Cricetulus griseus: one gene and its partners. The protein of the gene in region 3 interacts with the protein of the main gene of each other region in a biochemical or structural test. Links are inferred from orthologs where the notes say so. Each region holds a gene or a part of one and is shown on either strand. Other genes may lie near its edges. The genes, in order: Pdk2, Pdhb and Dlat.

Region 1 (10,057 bases), on a different chromosome or scaffold from region 3:
CTGAGCCCCCACTGCTCACTCCGTCCGTCTGAGGCCCCCTTGTTTCTTACTGTTCTGAGTCAGGTCTGGACCTCACCATCAAGAGCTAGCCACCTGCATGGTAGGAAGTTTTAGAGAGAGAGAGAGAGAGAGAGAGAGAGAGAGAGAGAGAGAGATGATCGGGACTCCTACCTGGTGCTCTGGAAGCTTCAGACCCTAGGAAACGAGAACCAGCAACACAACCAACACTAAAGTCTCCTTACAGACCACTATATCTTCCAAAGCTCAGGATTCATGTGTTGCTTTAACTGTGATGTAGGCAGGGCAGGCATTATCTGCACTGCACAGATGAGCAAATGAGGTCCAGAGAAAAGGGACTTGCTCACAGATGTACACAAATGTGTATGGTGCCAGGGCTTAGGAGATTCAGAAATCCGGGGGTTCGGGGAAGAGACCCTTCTGATGTGCAGCTTTGGTCTTTAACCACCCTACATCCTTCCTCAGTTGCTCCCATCTTTCCTTTGCACTGGTCCTAGGGGACACCCATGCTGAGTGAGACTACAGCCCAAGTCCTCACAAAGATCCAAGGCCAATGAGGGTATCCTCCAGCCACTATGCAAGAGGCCAAGGAGAGGGACTCCATGAAACAGGGACAAATGACCCAGCCTTGGGGGAATCCTGGAGGGCTACCTGAAGGCAGCAGCACCTAGTCCCTCCACTCCTGTTAATTCCTCTGCTCACCTAGTGCTAGCCTCTGGGTAGCCAGCTCCCTCCTAGAGATCTCAGGTTCTGATGTGTCACTTAAGTTCTGGGTTCATGACCAGGAGCATGGAACAACTAATGGTGTCTAGTCCAGCATTTAGCTCCATCTGGTCAAGGTGATGGGCTCGGGTTTGGGGGGATGAACTTGCTCCTCAGCACACATCCTTTCTGTCTAGGAATCCACCCTGAGTGATGACTCCACACCTCCCAGCAGCAGCCCCAAGATCCCCGGTGGTCCTCGACAGGAGACCAAGTGCTCCTATCCCTACCACACGTTGTCCCAGTCTTCAGATGAGGTGAGCCAGGCTAGTCTTTGTGCCTGCTGGGGACCTGGCCACAGGTTGGGCTTCCTTTACTCTCCCCATCTCTACCACAGTTCCTGGACGAGTCCCTCCCTACCATACAACACTGGACCAGCCAGCAGGTGGGCCAGTGGCTGTGCAGCCTCAACCTGGAACAGTATGCTGCTGAGTTTGCTGCCCGACAGGTGGATGGGCCACAGCTCCTGCAGCTGGATGGAAGCAAACTGAAGGTAGAGTGCAAGGCTGGCCAGACTGGGGTAGCTTGCAAGGATAAGGACCCCCTTTGTCCTGACTCATGGCTCTGACTTGTCTCCTGGACTGATCTGGGGTTTCCTCTCCCTGTCTAGCCACTGACCTGGCTTCTGACCTCTATGCAAGGGTCTGCTCTAATCTTTGCAATGTAGTTTGACTCCCTAATCTGACTTGAAATTTAAGCCCATGAGCCAGGCATTGGTGGCGCACGCCTTTAATCCCAGCACTCGGTAGACAGAGGCAGGCGGATCTCTGTGAGTTCGAGGCCAGCCTGGTCTCCAGAGCGAGTGCCAGGATAGGCTCCAAAGCTACACAGAGAAACCCTGTCTCGAAAAAAAAAAAAAAAAGAAAGAAAGAAAGAAAAAGAAAAAAAAAAAGAAATTTAAGCCCATTATCTGTCTCCATTTGACCTTCTAGCACCAGCCTGGGTGTTCAGGTTGACCTTGCCCTTTGGGTAGCCAGGCCTCTTTTCTGGCCAGCTCCATGCCATATTTAGTCTCAGAGCCTGATGGTAGGTTCCTGGGTTTGAAGGACCATAGGAAATCTTCAAGTGGGAGAGACCTTGCCACCTAGCAGTGTGACCTTGAACAAATCACTCTCCATCTGAAGGACCTCAGGAGGTTGGGCACAGTCATGGCACCGAGGCTGAGGATCTGGAGCCAAGGATGGGGCACAAATGGCTTAGTGCCAATTGTCCTCTCTATGACCACTTGCAAACCATTCCTCTTCCCTTGAGGTCCAATCCCTAGGCAAAGGCCATACTTCAGAGCAGACTCCAGGGGTCTGCAGGGAGTCCATGGGAGGAGTGTTCTGGGCTTCTTTCCTTCACCCTGGGTTTATTCCAGAGCCTGGGGCTTAGCAACTCGCATGACCGGGCACTGGTGAAGCGGAAGTTGAAGGAGCTGGCAGCGGCTGCTGAGAAGGAACGGAAGGCGCAGGAGAAGACTGCACGGCAGCGCGAGAAGCTGCGACGCCGAGAGCATGAGGCTAAGAAGAGCTAGGGATGGCTGGCCGGGGGGGCTGGCACCCCAGAGCACTTGCAGCCACCTGCAGGGGCCTCACCAGGGAAGTAGGGTCTAGGTACCAGGTTCTTTGGGGCATATGACCCCTCTCACCCTGTTTGGACCGAATCCTCTGGAGGATCCCACGGAGAGGGCCCAGTAATAAACCCAACTTCGAGGACTTGTTTGGCACAGATTTCCGGGGGGGAAGCAGGTGGCAGATGAAGAGGCCAGGAATGCAGCAAATCTGGAACCCAGAGGAGCCCGGTCCAGGCTGAACCTCTTCCCTCTGGCTAGAGTGGTACTGAAGAGGAAGTGAGCTAGCAAGAGAGGCCCTACCATGACCAGAATCCTTAGGCTTAGAGAGCAGCCTGGGCATCCCAACAGGAGACAGAGCTGTGTCTCCTCAGCTCTTGAAGGTGGCTGTGTGGTAGGAGAGCAGCTCTCCCCAGAGAGGCCAGTGGGCACTGTAGTAGCAACACTCAGGGTAGATTCCCAGACACCTCCTCAAAGGAGAGAAGAGCGAGCGGTGGAGGGTAAGCTAGCCTCTGTAAGGACTGCAGAGCGGGGAGAAGGGGACTCTTTCTCTCTCCTCTTCACTAGCCTGCAGGTCCCAGCAGGCAGGATGACACTGCTCCTCTCCCACTGAGTCAGGAGTGGGTGGGTCTTTGACCTTTTGCAGAGCTAGAATCGACTTCTTCAGAGAGTGCTTGAGGCTTCTTTGGGGTCAGGATAAATGGGAGCTGATGGGGACATAGGACACACACACACACACACACACACACACACACACACACACACACACACTAGTGCCTCGGTGGCACTGAACTGGTGACTCTCATCACACTAGCCGGGCAGAGGCACAATCTGAGGGTGGCCTGGAAGCTGCTGGATCAGAAGGGTTCATCAGCTCCCTAGGCCCCTTGGGTGTGTCAAGGCCTCAGTGAGCCTAGAGCTGACAAACATTGCTGGCTCAGGTTTGCTAGGCTACAGGGAGGACTGGGTCAGCCCTGGGTAGGTCTGGCATATGTCCTTTGTAGGGTACTTTCAGAGACAGAGGGTCCAGATGCCATGCTGACCCAGCTTCTCAGGTGCTGGTCAGTGACTACTGGGCCCAGGAGGTTTCTGAGAAGAAACCCCCCACCCCTCCCAGCTTCCCAGAGGGGTGGATAGGACCTGCATGCTAACTCCCTCTCTCCTGCCTGATGAAGTGGCTGATGGCCAGGACCCTGTGCTTGGGCTCAGCCATTGCACTGGGAGAGGGGCTTCAGAGGGAAACTAAGGTATAGGGGCATTGGCACTATCTAGACTGGGTGGGGAGGGTGGAGGCCCTACTGTCCCGAAAGCTGTCAGGAGCCGAGTGTGCCCCACCTGCATGTGAAGGGGGAATATGGTTCTCAACTTCTTTCAATAAATATTTACCATACACCAATGATCTTTCTGTTTGGGATGAGGGACTAAGCTATGGCTTGCATACCACTGGCCAGTGGGCTGCCAGGTGTTCTCAGTGGATGGCCCTGCCTTGTGGTATGCTCTGGTTGCTAGCTAGGCCAGTTCCTGAGTACAGTTAGTCCTAGAGGACCAGTCTTCACAAGTGTTCATGTGTGGACTCACCCTCCCCCAGCAAGGCAGCCAGTCACCAGTCTCATTTCATCTATTTACTGTGGATGTCACTGTCACCATCCCAGCCACTGGGAGGGGCACACGGCTTTAACCCCTGTGTGCTGAGGGGAAGGGTGAGGCATTGAAATTACAAAACTGGCTATGTACATAGAATGTTCTAGGGATGAGTCACCTGTGCACACGTTGTGAGCACGGGGGTGGGGTGGGGTGGGGTCTAAAGCTCAGGCAGGATGGGGGGGGTGTACACTCGGCAGGGGAGTGCACATGTGAGGACATGCTGGACCAGGGTTTAGGAAGTGGCACAAACATTGCCAAGATTGATCGATCGTCTTGGAGTCCTGGTGGGGCAGGTTACTTCTCAGCCTTCCCAGGTGCCGCTACTTTAGAAGTGGGCCTTGGGTAAGAATGACTTCCCACTCTCATCTCAAGTTCCCAGTTGCAACCTTAATGTCCAGGGTATTGACAGAGAAAGGCTGCAGGACCAGGGTCAAGGGTGCACCCTCTCTCTCCATCTTTTCTCCAGACCTGAGGGCACTCCACCCTTCTTAACATCAACAAAGGACACAGCCCAGTATACCTGTACAGGGTGTGGGAATAAGGCAAGCAGGGCAGCCACTCGGAAGGCCAGGACTATGCAGGCAGTGACGGGGACCCAGGGTCTCTGGTAGAAAATTGACAGCTCTGGTCTTGTGAGAACTGCCGTGGAGAAGTGTCTCTGGGGTACCCCATCAGATACAGCCATCCCCAACCCTCAAGCATCACCATGGAGACCAGGCTCCACAGAAACTCCCTAGGTTTCTCTGTAGAGACAGATTGGCACTTAGAGACCACCACAGATGGGTCACTGAGATTTCTACAAAGACAGACCTGGCCATTAGGGAGACCCAGCTTCACCCTCTGTACCCCAGGGGATAGGGAAGGTCCCTGTGGTGGCTGGATTCAGAGGTGGCAGCATCCTCCCAGGTGCCAGGGAGAGAAGGCCCCTAGCTGACCCGATACGTGGATGTGTTCTTGGGCTCCGTGCTGGGCACACACCAGTCACCGGCCTCCTGGATGGTCTGGTAGTGGCGCCAGGCAGACTTGTTGTAGACAGGCAGACGCTCCACTGAGTCCGTGGACAGGGCCTAGGGAGCACTGCCATCAGTTTCCTTCTTTCCCAATCCTCAGCACACTACCCCTTCCCACTGGGCCCTGATGCTCTCCACCCCTAGTATCCTAACCCATGTCCAAGTCAGCCCCATAACCAGACCCACAAAAACCCCTAAAAGGGTCTGAACCTTCTGTATCTTTCTCTGGTCCATTCCAGAAAGCTGTTCCCTCAAAAGTCAGGGAGGTAAAAAGAAGAGAGGGGGAAGGTTGGGCTGGGTGGCCTCTATTAATCACCAAGGCATTCCCTCTCAATGAAAGGCCAAGTTACAGCACTTGAGGAACCAAGGCTCAGCTCTGAGTCTGGAGCCAGGATGAGGGATTGGTAGAAACCTGCTAGCAGCAAACTTGCCCCCAGTGGGCCTCACCTTGAGATATATGACAGCATCTGTCCCAAAGCCCTCCATAGAGAAGAGCTGCAAGTCTCCTTGGAAGTACTTGGCGTAGAGGCGGGAAATGGGGAGTCCATACCCAAAGCCAGCCTGCAGACAAGCCACAGGTCATAAAGTGAGCCAGGGATGCCTGACTAGGGACAGGCAGGAGTGCTGGAGCAGGGGTGGAGAAGGGAATTCCTGGAGCAGATGAGAGTAGGTGGTAGGCAAGGGAATTGCAGAGAAAGCGGGGAGGAAAGCTGGACAGGGGAGCTCTACCCATGAGCTCCTTAGAGCCCCATGAGCTCCTTAGAGCCCATTCCGATATTTTTTCTTCTTTCTTTCTTTCTTTCTTTTTCTTTTTCTTTTTTTTTTTTTGTGTGTGTGTGTGTGTGTTTGTGTTTTGAGACAGGGTTTCTCTGTGGCTTTGGAGACTGTCCTGGAACTAGCTCTTGTAGACCAGGCTGGTCTCAAACTCACAGAGATCCCCCTGCCTCTGCCTCCCGAGTGCTGGGATTAAAGGTGTGCGCCACCACCGCCCAGCTAGAGCCCATTCTGTAAGCACAGGACTGCCTAGTCCATGGGAGGTGGGACAAAGGTGCCAGCAAATGAGCAATGCAGCAGAGAAAGAGGGAAGAGAGAGCAATGCGGACAAGCGACAGCTAAGCCATGGGCAGATGATCAGCAGGAAGGAGCTATTAGCAGCAGGAGGCTGTCACCACACAACCACTGCGGGGGTGGGGGATGTGGAGTATGCTTGGGAGTTAAGAAAGCAGGAGACAGGGAGACTGGAAGAAGTCATCTTACCAGTGGGGTACCCCCAGTGCCAGGCTGGGGTGTGGGGGCTGTGGAGTACATGTAGCTGAAGAGCCTCTCAATCTTCCTCAAGGGGACACCCCCACCTCGGTCACTCATCTGGGAGACAAGGGACATGTGAGATGCCTTCCAGGGTTATCTTCACTCCTCACCCTAATCCCCATGACCTCCCATGGTCAGGTCAAGGGTCACATACTTTGATGGACAGATCTTCTTCACCCAAGGCTACCATAATCTTGATAGGAGGGAGGGTGAGGCTGGACTCGTGGCTCTCCACCGTGGCCCGCATGGCATTCTGGGGAAAGTATGAAGGACACAGTAAGGGAAGCGCTGCTAAGGTTGAGGGCCGAGGGCTGACCCTCCCAGCCTCCTGAGAAGGGCAGCCTTCTTACCTTGAAGAGCTCAAAGAGCATGTGGTAGAGGTGGGAGGGGACGTAGACCATGTGAATGGGCTGGTTGGCATTGGTGGCTGTGGAAGTCAAGAGCACAGCAAGGTAACCTTCCACAATCCTATCTACGGTGCGGGTGTGACCCTGCAGCCCTTGTTCCTTCAGAGCAGCCAGCCCTCCCTCTCTCCCTCCCTCCTTCCCTCTCTCCCTCCCTCCCTCCCTTCCTCTTCCCCTAGCGTGAGGCTGTGTGCCTTCCAAGCTGCCATAGCTAGTAATACTTGGACAGTACAAGTTCACTCTGATATTCTCAGCTCCCTGGGGAGCGAGTACTGGCTCTGACCACTCCACCTGGGGCTGGCCACCCAAAAGCATCTCTCTCTCTCTCTCTCTCTCTCTCTCTCTCTCTCTCTCTCTCTCTCTCTCTCTTTCCGAGACAGGGTTTCTCTGTGTAGCTTTGGAGTCTATCCTGGCATTCGCTCTGAAGACCAGGCTGGCCTCGAACTCACAGAGCTCTTCCTGCCTCTGCCTCCCGAGTGCTGGGATTAAAGGCGTGCGCCACCAATGCCCGGTCCAAAGGCATCTCTTAATTAAGCCACTGCATTCTGGGGAGGTGTCCCTGTTCACATCACTCTCCCTGGCCTTTGTCCTCTGGCCCCACCCACATCATGTCCTTTACTTACTCACTATGTTCACTTATAAGGACAATGACATCAGCCTGTCACCTACGAGGCTCTGAAATTACATGTTCAGTGGTTAACTGTTACAGTTCCCAACCGCCCCAGCACCAAGAATGTCAGCTCTGTGAGGGCAAGAGCTTGCCTATCTTTTTTACATGATGCAAGTGCTAAATAATAAGCAGTTTTCCAATAAATTAATAATTTACAATGGCTCCCCTCTAGGGGAGCCTGGCCCTCCAGCTCCCCTACTCTGGTCTGTCCCCATTGCTCTGAAACACATGCACACTAAGTATATGCGAGCACACACACACACACACACACACACACACACACACACACACACACACACACACACACACCCTCATTTGCTTACCATTAACTTCCTGGATCTCTAGATCAGGTGAAGCCATGTAGTATTTGTCACACAGGAGCTTGGCCATGTCATAGGCATCTGAGAGGAGAGGGAACCACTCAGGTTATGGGTGGCTGACCCGGCATGCACTGACATTGGGCATCACCAACATGAAACCCATGGGGACATGCCCGTCCCCCACCACCACCATCCACTGGGAATGGGTCATCCTCTGGCCAGGTTATCTGGGAGGGAGGGGTCTCTGGAGCTCCTTTTTGGGCCAGGCCTATGGTGGGGGCTCACCTTTTACCACATCAGACACGCTGCAGTTAGGGTCAATGCTGCCAATGTGTTTGGGGTGAGCTGGGTTGGTACTTCCATCAAAGATGAGGGCTGTGGGCAGAGAGAAGGGCACTGTTGATTAGTTCACAGGACCTAGCCCTCTGTCTTTCTAAACGTCCTGCCCTTCACTTATCTGTAAGCCTCTGTACACTCCATGCTAATCATGCCCCCAAGTCCTGTCTTCCCCCTAGTTCAGGCCTCCCCAGGACTCCGCATCCCGCAACACTCCTCCATAGGCGTCTCCCACACCACGCCCTGCTACATGTACTTATTTATTTATTTATCTATTTTTTATTTTGTTTTTTCGAGACAGGGTTTCTCTGTGTAGCTTTGGAGCCTATCCTGGCAATCGCTCTGTAGACCAGGCTGGCCTCGAACTCACAGAGGTCCGCCTGTCTCTGCCTCCCGAGTGCTGGGATTAAAGGCATGGGCCATCACTGTCTGGCTTATATTTATTTACTTATTTTAATTTTTTTTAACAAAGTCTCACCATGTAGGTAAGCTTGGCGTCAAACATATAATCCTCCTGTCTCAGCATCCCAGGTGCTGGGATTGAAGGCATGTGCTTCCCACACCTGACTTAAGCCAGTAACTCTTCAGTTCCTGAATGGTACTTGGGCCTCTGGGCACAGTGGCTGAAGTGGGGAGCCCTGCTTCCTTCCCTGTCAGGGGTGGTGCCCCTTCCTGGCATGCCCTACCAGGACCCCTTGCCCTCCCTCTCCGAGGCAGCCAGAGCTCACTGTGCTGGTTGATGAGCATGCGGATGGAGATCCGGCTGAGGTAGAAGCGGTCCAAGAAGTACTGAATGTTCTGGTTGGACACCGGGTCATCGCCATAGGTGTCCTTGTACTCCAGCACTCCCTGTGCCATGGTGGGCACTACGTCATTGTGCCGGTTCCGGATGGTGACCAGGGCATCGGTGAACCTTCCGAGAATGCAGTCATCTGTCCCTACCCAGTCTCAGGCTTGGGGGTACCCCTGATTCTCTTTATTCCAACTTCCTTTCAGTTCCCCAATTTTCTCTATCCTCCCCAGCCCCACGGAGACACGGTGCTCACTCACCGTAAGCCCACCCTTATTCTCCAGCTGCCCATCCATCTTCCTGCTTACCGCTAAAGCTCCCAGTCCCTCTGAAAGTCTGTTTCTGAGGGCAGGGTACTGATAATTGGACTCTGCATCTCTCCCCTCTGACCAGGATTTCCCAGAAATAGCCTGTCTCCCCCTTTATCCCCTGCACCCAGCTGGCATTCCATCCTTGGGGCCCTGACTGAGATACCCTTGCCTTCTTGTCCCTGAAGAGGGTGCTCACTCACTGGCTTAGTGTCCGGTGATCCTCTGGATCCTTGTCCAGGAATTCCATGATGTCCAGCAGACTCTGGACATACCTGTGTGAGAGAAGGGGCCAGCTGAGACTACACGATGCTCCCTCCCACACCCTCAGATGCAGAGAGCTGAACCCGCTGACAATCAACACCCCATTTTATTGGCTCTAGGTCTCCCTGACAACGTAGTAAGTTGTACAAGGAAACCCCAAATCTGCTAGTGCTCTCACAGCAGATTCTTTGCTTCAGAATCCTATAGCAGCAACCTTAGGAGGGACCAGAAATTACCCCCTCTTAGAGGATAGAACAGTGGACTGAGGCCCAACTGTACCAAAGACCACAGTAACAGAGGACTCAGACATCTACCTGCCTTGTTGAGCAATGTTATAGACACCTCCCACAAGGGGCTAAAGCTCCCATAAGTGGACTATGAAGGCAGCTGGCAGGCTAGCTTCTCCCAGGGCCTCTCCCACAGTGATCTGGAACCTGCCTAGGGAACCCCAGTTTATAAAGGTCAGTATGTGTGGCTAGCACATAGGTAGGGCCAGGGAGGCTCACTCTGCCCTGCAATGAGCAGGGTGGTTGTGAGTGGGCCCTGCTGTCTGTTCCACCTATAGGCTTGGCCAGAGGGGCAGGATCTCCTCTCCAACTAGGAAAGGTTAGAAAACAAAGCAGAGCCAGTGTATTGAGCTTTTACATGTAATGTTGGTCTGCCTGTGGCAA
Region 2 (11,108 bases), on a different chromosome or scaffold from region 3:
TTCTGTCTAAGAGAACATGAACTATGAGAACTCAGGACTGACCTGGTTGTCACTGTAGATGCACTTTTAGGAGCATGCCCCATCCTAGTTGTGACCTCATATAACCACTAGTCCAACATGGAGTTTGTCTGTTCTTTTATCTGTGGCTTGGGGATAAGACTGCTAGGACTTAACAAAAAGGACTTTTGAGTACAGGTACAAACGGAGTGCATCCATAGGCAGTTGTTTTGGGGTTTGTCACAGGACAAATTGTCAGCTTGTGTTTGTTCTCTGTCTCTTCCTTTCCTTTCTCGACATTGTTACTAATGGTCCTATCTTATACTCACTAACCTGTTAGTCTCTTTAAATGACCAAAGACAATGAAGGGATGGAGCTTATTCTCAGAGATCAAGCTCCTATTATGTTCCTGCCTCTTCCAGTTTTGCCCTTTTGGTTCTAAGGGTCTCTCCTCAATTTACAGTATCCCCTGGAGGTTGAGTTCTAGCTCTCTGTGCCTTAAGTGTATACACCAGGCCCTTTGGGACTATATAGTCCAGCTCCCTGTGAGCAGGCTTCAGGGTGTTTACTTTTCCCCCACTGGAATGAGCAGCTCCACTTCTCACACAGCCCCCTCTTCTGTTTGCTATACAGGTGTAATATTTTAGATGCTATATTGATACAACCAACCTCTAGCTTTCACTTAGGGATAGTTTCAGGCTCATCGTTTCCTAAACTCTGGAAGTACATGTGAGGTTGTGAGGCCAGAGTCAAGGGGTTAGTTCTCTGAAAACAAGCTGTCAAGGCTACTACCCATACTCATGAATTCAAGCCTCTAGGGCTTTCTCTAGCCTTCCTAAACCCTAGACTGTAGGGCAGCCAGTCTCAGGATGGTCAGTTTCAGGCATGCAGTAGTCCCCAGTGCTGTTGCATTCCAAACCTATCTTTTGAGCCTTAATCCTGCAGTGATTCTTCAGCTAGGAGTCTGGGCACAAAACTGACCCTGAAACTCCTATTTTCTACTGCCCTTCTCTGGCCATTAGGATAGTACCTAATGTGTGGGTTATCAATAGCTATTTATCCCACATGGGCAGAGCTTATTCCTGTGGCTGCATGCTGTCAGTGGAGAGACTCAGTTTCCAGAGCTTCAAGAGAGCCCTCCCGCACTCTAGCATTTCACTGTCATTACTCAAATGCCTCAAGTGCAATGCATCTACCCTTACTCCACCTGGGCTTCGTACCTCAGTAGTCACTTAAAGGTTACTGCCCATTATAACCCTGTAATGGAAAGCCAGGAATGTCTTCCACAATCCATCCTACATAAAAGCTAATTGAATTTCATTCATCGTTGAGCAAAACCAATGTAAATTACGTTGTATTCATTTGTCTGTATTTAATCTTTACGTATTGCTATGCTATCATTGAGAATTCCATGCTTGTAGAGCATGAGTTTGCATCTGTGTGATTCTTTAATTTCAGCTGCCTTGGGTTGGGGTAAAGGTATAAAAGAAGGTAAGTGGGTTTTGTGAATTGCAAGACTTTGGCCATTGCTTAGTGGAAAGGAGATAACTGAGTATTTTATTGGTGACCTTGAGCCATTCATCCTTCATCTCTATTTGTGGACAAGGTGTCTTGCCTGTTATTCCTGCTGCTCATAGCAGTGTGGTAATAACAGATAAGTAGGGTCTTAGAAGACCACAATGTTCATAACTGACACACATTAGTATGGCAGTGATGTTTCACTACTTTGGAAACAACAGTTTACCTAGTGATTTAAAGGAAGAACAAAACTTTAACAACAAAACGAAATTTAGGGACTGGCTAGATGGCTCCACAGGTAAAGGTGCAGGCCCCTGAAGCCTTAACAACCTGAGTAGTCTCTAGGACCTGCATGGTAGAACTGACTCTGCCACACCTTGTCCTCTGAGCTCCACATGCAGTAGCATGCAGGGCAGGTGGAATGGTGAGCACTGACCTCCGTTTTCCTCTACAGGGCTGTCTTCTGCATTACCTCCACCTCCACCACCACCTCCGCCTCCACCAGCAGGTCCCTCAACAACCTCAGGCACAGAGATGCCTGTCCCGCTACTGCCCCAGGATATGAATGGCGTGAACCGTGGGGCCTTGCTCAGCTCCATCCAGAATTTCCAAAAGGGAACTTTGAAGAAAGCCAAAACCTGTGATCACAGTGCTCCTAAGATTGGCTGACGTTTCTTGTTTACACTGGGAGGGCAAGCTCTTGGCTGTTCCACTCCCACCTAAGTCCCTCTTCCTAGGTGAGTCCTTACATAGCCCCCAACAAGTCCCTTCCTGGGGTGAGTCCTTGCAGAGCCAGTACAGCCAGTCTTGCTTCAGTAAGAGTCTTCAAGATGAAAATGCTCTCCAAATAAATAAATGGGGCCAGCACTGCTGCCTTAACATTTTGCTCCTTCGTGTGACTCTGATGAGCTTCCTTTAGGAACAGCAGCATATGGGAATCATTATTTTCACCAGCTAAAGGAAAATGACAAAGACAAAAGCAGTGGCAATATTCTGTCACAGCAGTGACTGGTCTATGGCTGTCCCTCCTACTCTATCAGAAGTGTTCTCCTAGCTCACTCCTCTGAAGCTTCTCTGGTTTCTTAGGTAGTTCACCTCAGACACTAACACTGTAACCAAGGCTGTCACACTGCTGAGGCAGAGAAGCAAGAGCTCTCTTCATTCTCTTTCACAGGACAGAGGGAATCTCACTGTGGCTGAGAACAGTCACGCTGGATTCATAGTTTTCTTAAGTTAGAATGTACCAAAACAAACAAAAACATTAACCACAGAAAAAGCTCCTGCCAGTTAAGGTATTGTCTTACTCCTCAGCATTTGTAGAGGGAGAGTCAGCATTACAAGTGAATCTGGCATCTATGGTGATCACTTCTGATTTGATTTATCCAACTTCAGCATCTTTTTTGATGTTACTCAGATATTAGAAATCTTTCATTCTGTGATTTGCTTAAACCTTTAAATAAGTTGCACTTTAAAGGATTATTAAAAAAATCCATTTTAAAATTCAAATACACACATCAGTGTTGGTTACTATGCAGAAAGAATGTCATTGTATATAGTATTGTAATCTGTGATACATACTCAGCTGTATTTTGTATTAAAATAAATCATGTGAAGAAAATGTTGTGACTTTGCTAGATATTTCAGATGAGAACTTCTACAGTATATTTTGTGAAGAAATGTAATCTCAAAGTATACTCCCTCCTTCTGTCACCTTACCTCCTTTGTAATTGCTAATAACCCTCATTATGTAGAAACCATCAGTGTATGCTTTCATAACTTGTTTAAACCAATCCTTTCCACCAAGTTCTAAAAAGGCTCATATATGACATATCTGGTTTTGGCACTGTGAGAAGCACCTGACATCAACCTTTTTCATTTCAAAAGATACTGTGCTGGGGATGTAAGTCAGTTGGCACAGTGCTTATATAGCACTGTATCAACTAAGCATGGTGCTGTGTCTATAGCACTTGGGAGGTGGAGGTAGGTAGTTAAAATCTCAAGGTCATCATCCTCTACTAATTAATGAATCTGAAGCCAATGGGACCTGCCTCAAAAAAACAAAAAAGGAAATAAATGAATTGTGAGGCTGTATAAGTGCTGTGTTGACTAGTGACCACTGATGGAAACCTGGATCCCAGCGCTTCTGCTTTCAGGTTTTTCAGTTTTGGGTAGTTTCAGATATATGAATAAAAGCAAATAGGGTCTGGGGGTGTGGTAGAGCACTCGGCTAACATGCTTATGGTCCTGGAAATGTAAAGACAAAAACAAAAACACTTTCAATGAGGGCCAGGTGGGGTGGCAGCTCTTGGGAGGCAGAGGCAGGTGGATCTCTAGGAGATCCTGGTCTAAATAGCTCTGGGCCAGCCAGGAAATACAGTGAAATCCTTCCAAAAACTAAGGAGGCTTTATACAGTATATCAAGTTATTTTCCATTTAACACAAATTTCTTAATAGTACTCCAAGACTTCCACATCCATTATTTCACTAATATAATAATAGTTATTCCCCGGGTGGTGGTTATGATAAAGCAGGAGGAGAACCTTGGCGAATCCCATGGCAGGCGAGGGTGACTGGGGCGGAGGGACACACACGCCAGGCAGACAGCTTAAATGAGAAGTTTTATTAGAAAGGGAAGGAAGGGGGTGGGGGAGAAAAGAGGTAAAGAGAGAGAGGACAGAAGAGAAGAGGGACAGCAAAAGTCCTTTCTGCCCCACGGGAAACAGCAGGAAAGAGAATGGAAGTAGGTGAAGTTTAAAGATCCAGGGTGTATACACCTGCCATGTGCAGGTGAGTGAGAGGCAGGACCAGGTTTGCCTGGATTACAACAGTGGTGTCAGCTGAGCACATGCCTTTAATCCCAACATTTGGGAGGCAGAGGCAAGCAGATCTCTGTTTGAGGCCAGCCTGGTCTACAAAGTGAGTACCCAGACAGCCAGAACTGTTCATAGAGAAACCTTGGGGGGGTGCGGGCGCATGATTACTCATAGGTAGAAATCCCCTTTATTCCTTATCAAAACAACTTAAAGCAAATGTAGATAATATACTTTTTAAACATGTATCTTCTGGGGGTATATCTTTCATCAGGACTCTGCAACATTCTTGCCCCTTGTAGTAAAAGAGGGAAAATATTTATATTAATCTTACTCAAAGACTAGACCAACCGTAACAGACAAAGAAAGTATAGCATCTACCGCGGGAAGTGGAGTTTTCCACTCATAAGCATATTTAAGCTTCTTATCAGTACAGAGACACCTGCTGCTGCTTTAGCATTGACTTTATAACTAGGAAAGTTTCTCAGTACACATCAGATGAAGTCCCAATAAGTATTTTAAATAAATTTCAATGACTTGATATTCAAAGTCCAAATTAGACATTCAGTGTCTTCTTTACTGCAAATATGATGTCTTTGACCTGAGGTATGGAGTTGTCTTCTAGGATCTTTGCATAAGGCATAGGGACATCAGCACCAGTGACACGAACAGCAGGAGCATCAAGGAAATTGAATGCAGGGCCTGGGGAAGAGAAGGCTCACCTTGAGAGGCTGATTTGGGACTCGGGAAGAGAAAACAAGGTAATCAATGAACCCTAGTTATAGGGCACTCTTTTGACTTGACTTCCTCAAACATTTACCTGAAGACAAAAACCCTAGACTGACAAATTGAAAGTTGTTCAGTCGACAGATGGTGGTAGCACATGCCTTTTTAATCCCAGCACTTGGGAAGCAGAGGCAGGTGGATCTCTGAGAGTTTGAGGCCAGCCTGGTCTACAAGAGCTAGTTCTAAGACAGCCTCCAAAGCCACAGAGAAACCCTGTCTCAAAAAAAAAAAAAAAAAAAAAAGTCATTTGGTCACCCCTAGCTTGATCTTTTCAAGTATGCTGTTTACTGCAGCTTGATGTATCCTAGAATAAGTTTCTTTGAAATACCTTCCATGATTCTGGCACAAATCTCAGCTCCCACTCCAAACTGTGGCCAGCCTCCTTCCACAGTTACAAGGTGATTTGTCTTCATGACACTGGCTTCTATGGCTTCAATGTCCATTGGTCTGATAGTACGCAAATTTATCACCTAAAGACAATGCAGTAATTAGGTAAATAGGCTTTATAGGATCCAAAAGACAAATACAGCCTTGACCCCAAAACATCCCTCTTTTTGTTTTTGCTAATCTCTGGATCTAGGAAATTGAACCCACCTATCAATGGGTACACAATCAGAGACTAAAAGGAAAAACAGTATAGTAGTGCAGACTTGTAATCCTGACACTTGGGAGGCTGAGGCAGGATGATCATGTTTGAGGACAATGTAGGCTATACACAAGACCTTGTCTTAAAAAGTAAATGAACTCATAAAATAGAAAGCTGTACTCCCATCACAGGAAGCTTTGCTCACCCTCCTTGGTTTCACCATCTATCAAAATAGTTGAGTGCTTAGTGTACACCAGGCCCTACACCATCATACCCCATGGAGTAGAAGTTCTATTATCCTCATTTTATAGCTTATGAAACACTTTCCAAGGAGAACTACTTGGTAGATTCTACGCAGATTCGGTTACTTTTGAAGTCCAGCTCTAAGACTGGATCTTGTGATATGTGATTGTGTATGTACACACATGTGAGGAGTCAGAGGATGACCTCAGGTTTCTTGTGCAATTGCTCTTTTGGGCTGGAGAGATGGCTCAGAGGTTAAGAGCACTGGCTGCTCTTTCAGAGGTCCTGAGTTCAATTCCCAGCTACCACATGGTGGCTCAAACCATCCCTTATGAGATCTAGTGCCCTCTTCTGTCTTGCAGGCATACATGCAGGCAGAACACTGTATAATCTTTATAAAAAAAAAAAAAGAAAGAAAGAAAGAGTGAATCTGGAGCTAACTAATTGGTTAGACTGGCTGGCAAGGCTAGCAAGCACCAGACATCCTCCTAGCAATGCTTCCCCAGGGCTGGGATAACAAGCTCATGCTGTCATGCTTGGATTGTTTGGTTTTTGTTTCTTTTTGAGTGCTGGGATGGATCCAAACTCTGGTCCTCATGCTTGCTTAGCAAGCTATCTCCCCAGACCAGCAAGACTGGATCTTGAGAAGGTTATTAAAAGACCCAGTGTGTGTGTGTGTGTGTGTGTGTGTGTGTGTGTGTGTGTGTGTGTGTGTGTGTGTGTGTGTGTCTTGAGAAGTTATTAAAAGACCCAGTGTGTGTGTGTGTGTGTGTGTGTGTGTGTGTCTGTCCACTTACCTCACATTCAATTCCCTCCTTAGACAGTACTGCTGCAGCTTCTAGGCAGTGGCCCACTGGTCTTGAATGGGCAACTACAGTGATGTGTGTCCCTGAAATACAGTGGTCACAGATTAGAGGTCAATGGAACTAATGTAGCACTGGTGATTCTGCAGCCAGCTATAGCTCTTATCAAACCTTCACCTTATTTCAGTGAGCTAAACAATGAGGTTGTATTCCTGGACATGAAATATATATGTACAGCACTCGGGAGGCAGAGGCAGGCGGATCTCTGTGAGTTCGAGGACAGCCTGGTCTCCAGAGTGAGTGCCAGGATAGGCTCCAAAGCTACACAGAGAAACCCTGTCTGGAAAAAAAAAAAAGAAAGAAAGAAACATGTACCAGACAGACGGGATTCAGCAAAGCCTAACTTGAGCTCATTTATCCTTTACTTTTTAAGTCAAATTACAAGGCAGTAACTTCTGACATATGCAAACACAAGAGCTACAGTAAAAATAATGGTTAATGTATACTAAGGATTCTTACCTTGCCTTTCAATTTTGGCTTTTCCTATAGGAATCAGAAAATCTTTTGACTGAGCTTCTGTAGGAAGTTCAAATGCAACTCCATACATTAGTTCATTCTCTAGCATCACCACTGCAAGACATTATAAGTTCTCAAATAAATAAACAAAAAATACTACAGACAAAATGACTAGAAATGCATATACAATGAAATCATTAATCTTCTGAACACTAAGAAGTCTTGTCTCTTTCAGTCTAGAAGCTTTAGGATGGGTTCCATGCTGACACATGCAGTTTGATCAATATAATTGTATATGCTAAGGTTAATGGGTGTGGGTGCACAGTAAGTAACCAGCACCTTACAGTGAGAAGGAATAGCATACTTTTTACTGTCTATAAGTCATTAGCACTTTTCATATGCTGTGCTACATCTCACTAGATGCCTTGATCCTCATATGCAAGAGTTCATGTCAGTTTTTAATGTTATTATGCTGACCTGGATTATCATCACGAATGGCCGATTTAATAAGTCCTTTTGCATCCTCGGAATTCCAGGGGCTGACCACTTTTAAACCTGGGCAGTGCCCATACCATGCAGCAAAGCATTGTGAGTGCTGAGCAGCTACACCTGCTGAGGCACCATTGGGCCCCCTGAATACTATGGGCACAGGCTGGAGGCCAGCAGACATGTAGTAAGTCTTAGCAGCTGAGTTTATAACCTGGTCAATGGCTTGCATAGAGAAGTTGAAGGTCATAAATTCACAGATAGGCCGCAACCCAGCCTGTCAAGTAGAAACATCAATGTTAAAAAGACTAAACAGAACAAGCAAGAGTGCTGAATAACCACTCCACTTTTCCAGTATTACAAACAATATTTTCTTTCTTTTTCTTTTTTTTTTTTTTGTTGGTTTTTTAAAACAGGATTTCTCTATGTAGTCCTGGCTATCCTCTGCTTCCCAAGTGCTGGGGTTAGGTTAAAGGTGAGTGCCACCATGTCCAGCTCAAACAACATTTTCAGAAGATAGTATTAAAGGAAATCTCCTTAGATGACCTTCATAAATAATAGTACATACCATAGCTGCACCAACAGCAATTCCAGCAAAGCCCATCTGTAAAGCAAACAGCAACGTAAGAAAACATCCACAGAAATTAAAACTGAATACTCAACTCGATTCTCAAAGCTGGTCTGGAAAGCGTACCTCTGATATGGGAGTATCTATGATCCTCTTGTCACCGTATTTTTTCCATAGGCCTCTGCTAACCTACAATTAGAATTTAACCCCATGACTTACAAGTGCTTATCAGGGCAAATGGGTACTTTTTAATTCTATATCAAGTTTACCTATTTCAGTTACCTTATATGCACCATCATACTGGGCAACTTCTTCACCAAGCAGAAATACCTTTTCATCTCTTTCTAGTTCTTCATCCATACCTTGATTAATAGCTTCTCGAACTGTCAACTGGCATAGGGGTATATAAACAGGAAATAAGCTAAAGGATTATTTAGATACTATGGAAATTCCCTTCCTTATACTTACCTAGGCTGCCCACAAGACAAAACATAATTAACACTCAAGCAGGCAATTCCCTTTAAAGTTCCAAGAATCTGAGGAGGCAAGATGGCCAAGTCTGATGAGTTTGATCCCAGTCACACATTATGGAAGGAGGAAACTGATTCCCTGGAAGTTGACCTCAAGTGCATAGATAAATGCGTATCATACAAATTAAAATTCCAAGCCAGGCGTTGGTGGCGCACGCCTTTAATCCCAGCACTCGGGAGGCAGAGTCAGGCGGATCTATGTGAGTTCGAGGCCAGCCTCGTCTCCAGAGCGACTACCAGGATAGGAGCCAAAGCTACAAAGAGAAACCCTGTCTCGAAAACAAACAACAACAAAAAAGTCAAATTAAACTTCCAAGAACTTAAAAAGTAACACTCTACCACTAATCCTTCACTAGATGTTAATGAAAACTTACAGAACACTGGTTGTACCATTTGATGCACACCCAGGCAACAACAACACACTGATGGAACCCTAAACTGTGTCACAGGCAGTTTCCTAAGGAGAAAACATGCTAAGTTGTTTCTGTCACTACACTTGGAATACTAAGAGGCAGAGAACTAGCAAGGAAATCTAAGTCTAAGCATTAAGCACTCACTAGTGCCCAACACTTGACATCCACAATGCAGGAGCTGCTGCTTTAATATGTAGAAAGGTTAAGTCCTCCACTTCTAAATATACTTATGCCAAAGAACTGAAAGCAGGGACTCAAGCATGTATCTGCAGCCGATGTTCTCAGCACCATTACAAACCCAAAAGGTGGGAACAAGCCAAATACTCATCCTTGAATAAATGTATACGATGTGCAAAGGCTATGACTCAACCTCTCAAAGGAACAAATTCTGATGTATGAATTTCACAATATGGATGAACCTTGAAGCTACTGTGAGAAGTTAAATAAGCCAGACACAAAAGAGCAAACGATCCAACTCATATAACATTCTAGAGCCAGCAAACTAAGGACTAAGGGTCCGGCCTTCCTGAGCAAGAAAAATACAAAATGGTCTAGAATAGCAGAGTAGTGTGAGTTATCGTGTAACAGCCGGTAATCAAAAAAACTACTAAGAAATGGACAGTGTATATGACGACCGCAGTCGATGCCGCTGAACTTGACATTTTAACCTAAGGTTTTTTCTTTTTGTTGTTGTTTTTGTTTTTGTTTTTTTTCTTTTTCGGTTTTTCGAGACAGGTTTTCCCTGTATTGTTTTGGAGCCTGTCCTGGAACTAGCTCTTGTAGATCAGGCTGGTCTCGAACTCACAGAGATCCACCTGCCTCTGCCTCCCGAGAACTGGGGTTAAAGGCATACGCCACCAACGCCCGGCTTAACCAAAGGTTTTAAAGTTGTATTTTTACCACAACTTCGGGTGTATGTGTGTGTGTGTGTGGGGGGGGGGTCAGGGAAAGCGCTGGCTGCTTGTTAGACGACCTCCGGCCTCGCGGGGGACGGGTGTCAGCTTGAGAGGCGCCGGGCGGGGACACAAAGTGCGGTTCATTCGCAGGGCTCAGCCGCTGCCAGGGTCGGCGACGCCACCCTTCCACCTCCCGCCCGCGCCCAGGACCGAGGACTCCCTCCCGGCCTTGCTCAGGGTCGGAGACGGTTACCTGCAGTGCCGCGGGCGCCGAGCGGTGAAAACGCCGCTTCACAAGTCCAGACACCTGGCCGGGAGAGAGAAAGAGGTTCAGGGAGGGCCCGGGGCCTGCCGCGGGCGTGCGGGGGCCGCCACCTACCTGCCGCCAGGGTCCCCGCAGCACGCCGGCCAGCGTCGCCATCTTGCCCGTGTCCTCTACTGGCGGCCTAATGACAACACAGAAGCTCCGCAGACCGGGCCTGGCGCAACCAACGGTGGGGCGTGGCGAGCTCAGGGCCCGCCCTAACCCGTCAGCCGAAGCCAATGGAGAGTGACGACTGAGGGCCCGGCCCTCCTGAGCAAGCCAATAGCAAGGCGCAATGCCAAAGGGTCCCGCCCCTCGGGCTAGCAAAGGCCTCTGCGAGCGTGGCCAACGAGAGGGGGCGACGTGTGCGAGTCCCGCCCACCTGGGCAGGCGGGAGCCGGCGGAGGTGGCGTGGAGCAGCTGATCTTTTCTGACCCGGCGCACGCACCCGAGAACGTTTAGCAGACAGCCGGCTGCAGCTGCTAGCACGCGGTGCACACGCCCCTGGCTGCTGCCTGCCTGCCCGCCCAGGTGCTGAGACTGGCAATGAGGCCTGACCGAGGATGGAGGGGCCTTAAGGCCACCCCTCCGCAGACACTGCGGGCCTTGAGTACCGCGTGGGTGGCTCTTGCCCACAGTCCCGTGGAGGAGA
Region 3 (11,008 bases):
TTCAGAAGGCAGAGTCAGGAGGATCAGGAATGTAAGATCACCCTTGGCCATACACCAAGTTTAAGGCTAGCCTGGGCTACATGAGACCCTGTCTCAACCCCCATCTACCCCAACTCAACTCTTCAACTCCCTCTGAATCTCCAGGAATCTAGACATACAACCTACCGTCTCTCATCTCCTAATCATAATTAGTCCTATTCATTAAATTTCATGGCTACTCGTTTTTCTTGGGGATGACAATCCACCCATTACCCAGACTTCTGAGTTCTTTCATCTACCAAACTACATTTTCTTCCCACAAACAAGAGCCCCATGCTCCTAGCTTCTAAAGTCAAATCCCAGATCATGTTATTTCCAGTTCTTAAACATCTCTTGGTGGCTGGTGAGATGGCCCATGGGAAAAGGTGCTTGACATACACATCTAATGACCAGAGAGTTCAATCCTCAGAACTCACATAAAGGAAAGAACCAAATTCATAAAATTGTCCTAAACTCCACACATATATATGCCTTAGCGCTGGCACATGCCCTTTAGCCCCAATATTGAATAAATAAACTAGCTTAAATCCCTGAAATCCATAACAAAAACAATCTTCTCTTTGCAAGCACTGGGGTATGAGAAAAATAGATATGTATGGTCTTTGTTCCAAGCTCTTGCCATGCACCTTCCAAAAGCTTTCCAATTTGCTCAAAAATAAGTGTTTTTTTTAATCAAGCTTCTTTACAACACACCAGTTTATAGTAATGAGGTCACTGAGGACAGGACTTCTGGATAAGGACTAGTAAGACCAAACACTTGATTAAAGGGTGATAGAAGTTTAAATCTTCTTTCTATTCTCCCTCCCCATCTCCTCCTCCAACTCTTCTGCTTCCTGCACTAATTGCACTAAGGGGAGAGGGACTGGGAGCTGAGTTCAATGAACACTGGCCTATGATTTTGTCAACGGTGTCTTTATGACGACACCCCTCTGAAAATATTGCTTTGAATGGTGAGAACCAGTGGGCTTCCTAGTTGGTGAGGACAGCCATGTGCTGGAAGGATGGCAAGCCCAGAGAACACATGGGTGCTGTTTGCATCCCTCCCCACTATACTACGTCCTATTCATCTCTTCCATTGGCTATGTCCGAGCTGTACTCTCTACAATAGATTAATAATAGTATATAAATAAGGTCTATCAGTCATTTTAGCTAATTATCAAACCCAAGGAGAATTGGCAATCCTTAATTCTCTGTTAATGAGTTACACAAGCAGGTGGCCCTGGGTACTTAAAAGCAATCTGAGCGGTCTTACTCCATAGTCTCATGTCAGAACTGGACTGAACTGTTGGACACTCAGTTGGTGGTTATATGGAAAAACTCCAAATACTTGGTGCTAGGAATACCACACAATCATGGATCTTGAGCTCACTGGGCCTTGGCCACTCCCACCCTCCACTGCAAAGTCTTATCAACCTCATCCCCTCTCTACTCAGTGGTGCAGAACTTGCTTCACAGGCACAAAAGCCTAGTTCAATTCTTAGTACAAAAAAAACTAAGTAAAATGAAGGACACTCCGACTCCTTCCACTTTCACTAGCCCTGACCTTCCTGCTGCCATTAGTCCCTGTACTTTCCTTCCTTCCTTTGCCCAAATCACATTCTTCAGACTACTGTTAGAATCATTCATTCCCTTGCAAAACTCTAGAACCTGCTTATCTTCTCATTAAGCAATGTTGCTTGGAATAGAAAGCACAGACTTGGCTGACTAACTCAGTTTAGAACTGAAAAGCTAAGACAGAAGCCCAGAAGCTTCCCAGAACCCAACTGTCTCCTTTCCATTGTCCCCAGCCCTAGAAGACTGCTCTATAATCTCTCCAAGCCCACCCTTCCCAGACTCACTTCCCAAGATAATCAGATAACCTTAAATTATAGAACAGACCATAGCAGGGAGGGATTCTTATTTCCTACCACCAAACCAACCATCCATAATCTTAAAGGCTAATCCTTTTATATTCTAAAGAATTCTGTTTTCTGCCAAATCATTCTGCCCTATGTCACCCCAAATGTTTCTAATGGACCAGATTCTCAAGGAGGGCATTTTGCTTCCCAGGGTACCCTGGAAACAACTGAAGATATTTTTGTGCCGTGTGAATGCTAGCATTCACACAATGCTAGGCAAGTGCTCTACCACTGTACTTAAGCCCCAGCTGCCTCAGTGGTTAGCTCGCCTGTAGCCCAGGAGGCCCTGAACAACCAGACCAGCAGATCCTTCCTTCTGTCTGATTCTGCCCAGCTAGATTACAGGTGTGTGCGATCTATCAGACCCAGCTGCTTTTAATTCTTCTCACCCTTATCTTCTCCTCTCCCCTTCACTCTACATGTTCTGTTATGTTCCTCAGGCATGTCAAGGTTTGTATGATTCCAGACCATGTGCTGCTGACATACCAACCTCTGCCAAAAAGCTTTTCTTCAGTACCTCACATGGCTGGCTCACAGGTGATTCCTCCTTGGAAAGAGCCTCCTCACAGAGCCACCCTGTCCTGTCACTGTCACTCATAGACAGGTTTATCATTGAGTCTGTTCCTTTTTAGCTCTTACATCATCTCAGATCACAATGGAAATTTAGAACCAGGAGAGCTAACATGTTTTCTGTGCACAAGCACTCTTTACTTACTAATCTTCACAACTTATTAAGTATTATTTTTATATACAAGTTACAGAGTCAGGAAAGGTCACAGTGCTAGCATACGGCAGAGCTGACATTTAAACCTGAGCAGTCAGCTCTGGATCCCACTCTTCACTCCAGTACACTTCTGCTCACTCATCCTCCACTGCTGGCCAGTGAAGTCAGAACGTTTTTCCATCTTATACACACAGATGGCACTCTGTGTGTATCTGCTTAGCTAATAATAAAGGGACTGATTAACCCTGCCTGCATGAAAACAATACTGGGATACTTCAATTTATCCCTCTAGTAAAATAACCAGTGCTGCTAACTCTTCAACAAATGACCCTACCAGTCCAGTTCTTCAGGCAGTTATTAACACAGCCCCTCTGCTCTTTGAAATGCCTTAAACTTGTCTTCAATACTAAGCAAAAATGTATAAAGAATGGCAAAACTGATGCTTTGTTTTCAGATCAGTTTGACCTCCAACAAAAAACGGCAGCTTGGTAGTGGGTGAGAATCAGACCGAGTGCACACAGCTGCAGATCAGAGGACATAATTGTAGTTTTCTTCAGTGACTATGGATGGTAGAGCAGGGACAGGCAGCACAGGGTATTGGGAAGAATACAGAATTTAAAATAGGACCTGGTGGGTCAGGCCCGTGAGCCTAACTACTCAAGAGGCTGAAGACAGGGCAGCCTGGGCAAGGTTTTTATTCTGAGACGATATCTCAAAATAAAAGTAAAGAGAGGGGCTAAGAATATACTTGTTACAATGCTTGTCTACTATGAATGAGATCCTAGGTTCAACCCTCACTCAGTATAAAATGAAAAAAAAAAAAAAAGGAAAAGAAAGAATTGGCTGTTGAGAAGGCTCAATGTGTTAGGCTGCTGCTGCCAACACTGATGACCTGAGTTCAACCCCCAGGTGACACACTGTACATAGGAGTCAGTTCTGTTTCTATCATGTGGGTTCCAGGGGCAGTACTCAGGTCATCAGCAGCATTTTATCTGATGAGCCATCTCACCAGCCCTGTATTGCTACACTCAGTCACCGTAGCACTGAGATTTATCACACAGCAAGTCTTAAAACTTAATATTGCTCAACAAACACATATGCTTTTGCCAACAATTAAGTAAGACAGGGAGAAATAGGGGGACAGGAGAAATAAAAGTAGCCCCTCACCAGCTGAGAAGCAAGGATTCCAGCAATTAACATTTGCTGAAGGCCTTTCCTACTTCCCAAAGCTAAACCAGAAATATTCTAGGAAGCTCATCAGAAACCCTATCCACAGTAGACCAACACTAAAACCCTTGCACTCCTGGTTTTTCCTTATCACATCCACTGCACCTTCAGAGCCACCCCATAATCTTATTACCAAGGGAAGGAGGGAGGGAAAAGAGCTACAAAAGTGGTACACATGGCTAATGGTAGGACATTTAATTACAACTCTCCCTTGTGGACTCACATTTACACTTGGGTATGTCTGACCTACTATGACTCTCCCTTAAAAAGCCCATACCTATACTTGGGTATATATTATTATTTCTCTTAACCCTCATGCTTTAAAAATCTTCATTAAAATATCTTTTAATAAACTACACCATTCTTTCATTATTTTATGAGCACCCTTCCTTCTCTTTCTCTCTCTTCCTCCCTCCCTCATCTCTCTCATTGTTGTTCTTGATTTTTTGAGACAGTTTCTCTGTGCAGTCCTGGCTTTCTAGAAACTTTCTCTGTAAACCAGGCTAGCATCAAAATGAGAGATCCACCTGCATCTGCCTCCAAGTGCTAGTATTAAAGGTGGGTACCACCACAACCAGCTTGTGAATGCCTTTCTACTTTTACTAAAACCAACTCAGCTTCATTCTGACAAGTCCTGAAATTCTTTTCTGTACCAAATCCACAAAACCAGAGCTTCCCTGAGTTGTGGTCCCTGAAAGATTAAAGGAGCTCCTCAGAGTTCTGAGGACAAATGTGGAGGGAAGTTTCCTTTTCTCAGCACTGCTTTTAAAGATTTCCTCTAAATACAGGAACATTTTTAAAGGCACACAAATTACATAGGCAACACTAGACAGATCACATAAAATACAATGATTTCCCTGCTCCATGAAGGAACAAAGATATCTATGTTCCACACAGTTGTATGTGTTGGTCTTATGGACAGCATTTAACTAAACTTATGGACAGCTAAACTTTAACTTTGTAACTCCTTTCTTTAGAAAGAAACTTACCTTTAACTTGGGTGAGGTCAATCCCTCTCTCTGCTGCCAACTTCTTTGCAAGAGGGCTAACAAACACCCTTCCCTTTGGTCCAGCAGGAAGGGCTGAGGGTGTAGGTGCTAGAGGCTGGGCAGTGGGAGGAGCAGCTGCCACCTTGGAAAAAAGTTAAAAGTATCCACTCATTACTGCAAAGATAATCTGAAAGAACACAGGTTCATATTTTATACAGTAAAAGTCTTTGTAATTAGTAACTTTCGTCCCCTAAGAACATAATGCATTTTTCTGGTTGGACTAACACACAAGTCTCAATATCAGGAGAGGTATGGAATTAAACTAACCAGTGTTGTGTGTCAGAGGGTGGAGCTAGCCACTAGCTGACCAAAACCATTAACCATAGAGGTTTTGGAGGGCTGAGGACAGGTGGGCCTGGGAGAGGATCTCAGCCTTTTGGATGGAGGAACGGAAGAGATAGGAGATGACTGGTGTCTGCTATGCTGCCTCTCTGATCTTTCAGGTTCTTACCCCGATTTCTGACTCCCGATTCTTTATTAATAAAGAATAATTAGATAAACACATCAGACCTGTGTATAACATCCTTGTCACCTGTCATTTTCCCCACTTTGAGACTTTGTAACCCATGGTGATCCTACTGCCTCAGCCTCTCCAAGTATTGGAACCACCACACACCTAGCTTCTTCTACTTCATTATTTTCAGAGTATAACTAACCTCATGTCTGCCTTTATTTAACCTCACTTCAGGATATAAAATGATACCACCAGGTCCCATGTTTCGAGTGTCTTAAGGAATGGACTACACTGTTTCCTGACAACATCCCCATCAAAATAAGTCAGTGAGGAGTCAAGCTTCGGCTGAGGAAAGGTACACCTTTTTAAACCCTCAGAGGTGTATGCTGAAGAGCACGAGTGTATGATGCTACTACACGTCACGTCAGATCAGGATCCCAAGTCCAAAACACACGTTCATCAGCTACAAAAAAATACACAAATACCAGAACTGAAAATAACAACAGGTATTTAATAAAGCAACAGAAAATGTAGAGTGAGAGCATCACCTCCCGTGGGCATGACCTTCACACTGAAAGCAGAAGAATATGTAACTCGGTTTTGTTCTTACAGGACTCAAGATGGAGGCAAACTACTGACCATCAGGTGGACGGCACATGCTATACACCGCAGGTTAATAGGAGATGCTGGGCACTTTCCTGCTTGTAGGATCTGGACACACAGGAGCCTGGGCTATCATCTGTCTGAAAGGATAATGTTCCAGTTCAGAAGCATACCTACCGGGGTTGGGACAGGTGGTGGTGCTTGTGGCTTCAAGCTGGTCACTTCCGTTGGCCTGTAGTCTGCAAAGGCTGCTATATCTTCCTGTTTTTCTACTATGATACAAAGTGGGGTTCCCAGGGGAACATCCCTTGTGCCTTCAGCGACCAGGATTTTTGCCAGATAACCTTCTTCTTGTACTTCAAAGCCTTAAGAAGAAAGGAAAATATTATGGTACTCAAGACGTTCTTACAGATTCACCAGAGTTTCAGGTAAAAGGTTTTTTTCACATTCACACTACTGGCATTGGTTCGGTTTTATTTTTACAAGCTGCTTAACCTCTCTGTGTCCCTGTTTCAAGTCTTTAACACGGGAACATGGAACCAGGAATAGTATAGTCAACTTCTGTCCACAGATTCTGCATCCCTAAATTCATTCAACTGTAGGTCAAATGTTACATTGTACTATGTAGTTAGCCAATGGAGATCTGAACTTAGCACATACACTTTTTAGTCTTGCAACTGTTTCCTAAGTAATACAGTGTAACAACTACTCACACAGCACTGTTGTATTAGGCATTACAAGTAACTGGGAATGATTAAAAGTATACTTGAATAGAGGCATAGCTCAGTAATAGAGGTCCTATTAATTTGCTCAAGGCCTTGGGTTCAATCCCAGTGACCCCCACCCTGCCCCCCAAATACTGTATCCACTTATACAGGGAACTCCAGTCTATAGACTTCCATCCTTGAATCAGTTTGACTACACATATACCAAGAAATGACTGACTATATCATCCTCATGCAAATGTTATGGTTTAAATGATTTAAATCAATGTTATTTAAGAACTTAGGAACAGTCCCTGGAACAGAGTAAACAAAACAATGCAGTCAGCTCTCCAAATCCTGAGGCCAAAATAATTTGGGAAAGAATTGCACCTGTGCTGAGCATATAGGGATGACTTTTCTGGAGCATTACGATCCCTTGTGGATACTGAGATAACTGTACTGTCCTACCAGAGCTGCAGACAGCGGTTCCTTATGAGAGTTACTGAAAACACCTCAGGGCAGTCCTTATGTGGAACTCACAGGATTCTAAGATGGTATCAGATGCACTGCTGAAAGTCAGTTCCACGGAAGTTGAGTTACCAGAATTACCAAGCAGGACAGCAGCGTGGGATTTTAGCACTAAACGTGTTCTCAGAGCTTCTCAAAGACTGAACTTGACATTATGCTAGATATTCCAATGTGAGGAAATACAGCAACACTGGGGTCCCTGCAACAACACTTAATATGCCATTCAGCTACTATTTTTCTCAAACACTTAGATTTATAAAAGTGAAACTTTAAGCTGGGTGGGGGGCTGTTTTTTTTGTGACCCCACCACCAGGAGGCTGAAATAGAGGATGTCAAGCTCAAAGATAACCCAAGCAACATAGTAAGCTCAAAAGTTCAAGACCAGACTAGATTACATAGCAACGAGTTCCCTGTAAAGAAATACCAGCAGGGCATGGTGGTGCATGCCTTTAATCCTAGCACTCTGATCTCTGCGTTCCAGGCCATCCAGGGTGAGTGAGTCTCTGTCTCAGAAATTAACTCAATTAATTAAACTAAAAATTTTAAAAAGCAAAACTAAGTTACTGAAAAGGGCAAGTTCTGCCTTCTGGATCTTGCTCTCTGCTGTTCTCCTTGATGAACACATCTCTAATGAATCCTTCCATTTCCCAACTGGGACAACTCAATAAAGCTGGGCAGAGGGTGTGCAAACCTTTGATCTCAGGTTTGGCAAGCACCTTTACCCACACCAAACCATTTTGCTGGCCTTTTGCTTTTTTTTTTTTCTTAAGACAGAACCATTTCTTCTAATAAATGCTATGGGAACCAGGCAGTGAGGCACAAGCCTGTGATCCCAGCACTTGAACTTGGAGGCTGAGGCTGGAGGACTGCAGATTAAAGGCCAGTCTCATCTCAAAACAAACAAACAAACAAACAACAAAAATCCACATTTTAAAACTATGAGGAAGTAGTATGTGAAAAGAAAGATGGAATTGCTCTGGTGGGAGGGAGGGTCTTACTCTTTGGTTCACACTTGCCCTGGGCTTCTTTAAGAACGGCAGGGGTGAAAAGAGCGCTCACTGTCCGTGACTTCTACTTCCTCATGCCTCCTAGGTCCTGCTATGCATACTCTGTGGCATGGGTGGGCCTCTTGCTTCTAGAAACTATGGATGAGTGGCAAAAAGTTCATAATGCCTAGGATTATCAATGAATACAAGCACAAATATACAGCTGCTTAATGGATTTTGTTTCTGAAAATAAAATAAATCAAAGAAGGGGAACATGGGAATGTGATACACGTGAAGACTGACAGGCATGGGGTCTGTTTTTCCTCACAATCATTGGAAATCCCTTGGTACTCTCTTGCCCCAGATTGGGGGGGGGGGGGCAGGGGACTTTTTTCCTTCCCCCTCCCTTCCTTCCTACGTTTAGACAATTGCAGTTCTGGGACAACTTCTGAGTATCATAAGAATATGGCAAACCCTGGCCTAAGAAAAAAATCTTGACATATCCTCCATCGATTAGTACAGCTTAGAACTGTAGATTAGTACATCGATTAGAACTGACATATGTGACTGTGCATGACTTTGTTTAAATTATGCCAGGAATTACAAAATTCATGTTATCACTCACTCAGTACAGGAAAGGATGGCCATCCTCCTCCTCACTCAACGACCAAGAACTGAAGAACTCTCACCTATAGTGGCCTTGTCAGTCTCTATCTCTGCCAGTAAGTCTCCTTCACTGAGCTTCTCACCCACTTTCTTTTCCCATCTCTGGACCGTGCCCATAGTCATGGTGGGGGAGAGGGCAGGAAGAAGTACCTGCAGAAACAAAGGCATCACGGTTAGCCAGGAAGCACCGCACACAAAAAGAGTTCTGGGGTCACTCAATCCCTGCCACACCCAGCTCTGGTGGAATTAATCTGTAATCTCAACACTCAAAAGGCAGAAGAGAAAGATCATGAGTTTGAAACCAACCTGAACTACACAGTGAGACATTGGCTCAAAATTAAACCACAACCACAAAACCAAATTACCCATCACAGCAAGAATCTATGCCTAGAAGCTTTCCACCAGTTAAGTCACCTTCAGAACAAGGGTGATTATACTTGACCAGTTACCCCAACCCATCCTCCGAAGTTAAAACCAACAGGCAGGTAAGAAGGATTTCTTTCAGATGGTCAAAATGAGCTCCTCAGTGTATACGAAGTCTCTTTTCAACTAGGACAGGGGTTCTCAACCTTTCTAACACTGCAACCCTTTAATACAGTTCTTCATGTTGTGGTGACTCCCAGCCATAAAATTATTTCCATGCTACTTCATAACTGAAATTCTGCTAGTGTTATGAATTTTAATCTAAATATCTGATATGTAAGATATGTACTAAGCTACCCCAAGGTTGAGAACTGCTGCTCTAGGTTACGAAGGATACTTCTCATTTTCACAGAATGATCTTGGTCTAGACAAACCACTCTGTAGAATTTGCTGTGTTCTGCAATGAGTATCTATTTATCTTTTCACTCATAAGAGACCACACTTATTTCACACTTACTAGATACAAGAATTTTTATTTTTTTTTAATTAAGGGCTAGAGAGATGACTCAGCAGTTAAGAGCACTTGCTGCTCTTGCATAGAACCTGAGATCTGTTCCCATCACTCAGCCAGGCGGATCTCTGTGAGTTCGAGACCAGCCTGGTCTACAAGAGTTAGTTCCAAGATAGCCTCCAAAGCCACAGAGAAACTCTGTCTCGAAAAACAAAACAGAAAAGAAAAGAAGGAAGGAAGGAAGGAAGGAAGGAAGGAAGGAAGGAAGGAAGGAAGATAACTTCCTATAAAGTTAAGTAAAGTTAGGCTGGGCGGTGATGGCACACCACCAGGGCTATAGAGAAACCCTGTTGTTGTGGGATATTTGTACACTATTATGAAGATGTACCGCTGTGACTGGTGTAATAAAAAGCTGAACAACCTATAGCTATGCAGGAGGTATAGGTGGGACTCCCAGGCAGAGAGAAGTCTGGGAAGAAGGGCAGGGTCACCAGCCAGAGAAAGAGGGATGGACAATACAGAGATGAAGTAACACCACATGGCAGAACACAGATTAATATAAATGGGTTAATTTAAGTTATAAGAGCTGGTGGGGCAAGCCTAAACTAAAGCTGAGGTTTCATAATTAATAGTAAATCTTCATGTCATTATTTGTTCGCTGTCCTCCCAAAGAAAAATCCAACTACACCTTGTCTTAAAAAAGCAAACATAAGGGGCTGGAGAGATGGCTCAGCAGTTAAAAGCACTGGCTGCTCTTCAGAGCACCGGGGTTCAATTCCTAACACCCACATGGCAGCTCACAACTGTCTATACCACCTGTTCCTGGGGATCCAACATCCTCACACAAACATACACACAGGCAAAACACCAATATACATAAAATAAAAATACATAAATTATAAAAACAAAAATGTTAAAGAAAGGCTAAATCTTAATTCTTTAGATTTTACCTACTTCCTACATAAAAAACACATAAATACAGAGGAAACCTTAGTATCTAATAAACTCATTCAGTATGTATATCTTGGTGTCTATGTTTCTTGTGATTTTTCTTTGGCTTTTTCATGTTTGTTTGTTTTGTCCTATTCTAGTTTATTTTTATTTTATTATTATTCTTTTTTAGATGCCTGTTTTTTTTCTAATAAGAGAGAGAAAAAGTATGGGTTTGGATGGGTAGTGAAGTGGGGAGATCTGGGAGTTGGGGGACAGGAAACTGTAATTAGATTATGTGTAGGAAAGAAAATTTACTTTTAAAA

Evidence for each region.
Region 1: the proteins of Dlat (region 3) and Pdk2 form a complex in vitro, tested with the Homo sapiens proteins (2 studies listed by BioGRID). The link is inferred for Cricetulus griseus from reciprocal best matches to the Homo sapiens genes DLAT and PDK2.
Region 2: the proteins of Dlat (region 3) and Pdhb form a complex in vitro, tested with the Homo sapiens proteins (2 studies listed by BioGRID and IntAct, with this or other methods). The link is inferred for Cricetulus griseus from reciprocal best matches to the Homo sapiens genes DLAT and PDHB.

Annotation. Positions count from the first base shown.
Region 1 is NC_048600.1:108,203,568-108,213,624, forward strand, and holds the end of Pdk2 (pyruvate dehydrogenase kinase, isozyme 2), read right to left. Parts: intron 9,398-10,057; coding exon 9,326-9,397; intron 8,938-9,325; coding exon 8,753-8,937; intron 8,064-8,752; coding exon 7,974-8,063; intron 7,770-7,973; coding exon 7,692-7,769; intron 6,722-7,691; coding exon 6,645-6,721; intron 6,548-6,644; coding exon 6,449-6,547; intron 6,352-6,448; coding exon 6,244-6,351; intron 5,548-6,243; coding exon 5,434-5,547; intron 5,044-5,433; coding exon 4,903-5,043; 3' UTR 3,940-4,902; downstream 1-3,939. Other genes in the region: sterile alpha motif domain-containing protein 14, read left to right, coding at 918-1,037, 1,118-1,273, 2,141-2,296. UniProt on the Homo sapiens protein: Kinase that plays a key role in the regulation of glucose and fatty acid metabolism and homeostasis via phosphorylation of the pyruvate dehydrogenase subunits PDHA1 and PDHA2.
Region 2 is NW_023276807.1:76,089,195-76,100,302, forward strand, and holds Pdhb (pyruvate dehydrogenase E1 component subunit beta, mitochondrial), read right to left. Parts: upstream 10,659-11,108; 5' UTR 10,574-10,658; coding exon 10,532-10,573; intron 10,460-10,531; coding exon 10,406-10,459; intron 8,704-10,405; coding exon 8,596-8,703; intron 8,503-8,595; coding exon 8,440-8,502; intron 8,350-8,439; coding exon 8,314-8,349; intron 8,023-8,313; coding exon 7,737-8,022; intron 7,374-7,736; coding exon 7,263-7,373; intron 6,830-7,262; coding exon 6,738-6,829; intron 5,582-6,737; coding exon 5,440-5,581; intron 5,028-5,439; coding exon 4,882-5,027; 3' UTR 4,115-4,881; downstream 1-4,114. Other genes in the region: Pxk (PX domain-containing protein kinase-like protein), read left to right, coding at 1,970-2,184. UniProt on the Homo sapiens protein: The pyruvate dehydrogenase complex catalyzes the overall conversion of pyruvate to acetyl-CoA and CO(2), and thereby links the glycolytic pathway to the tricarboxylic cycle.
Region 3 is NC_048597.1:162,409,997-162,421,004, forward strand, and holds part of Dlat (dihydrolipoyllysine-residue acetyltransferase component of pyruvate dehydrogenase complex, mitochondrial), read right to left. Parts: intron 9,029-11,008; coding exon 8,902-9,028; intron 6,360-8,901; coding exon 6,172-6,359; intron 5,020-6,171; coding exon 4,878-5,019; intron 1-4,877.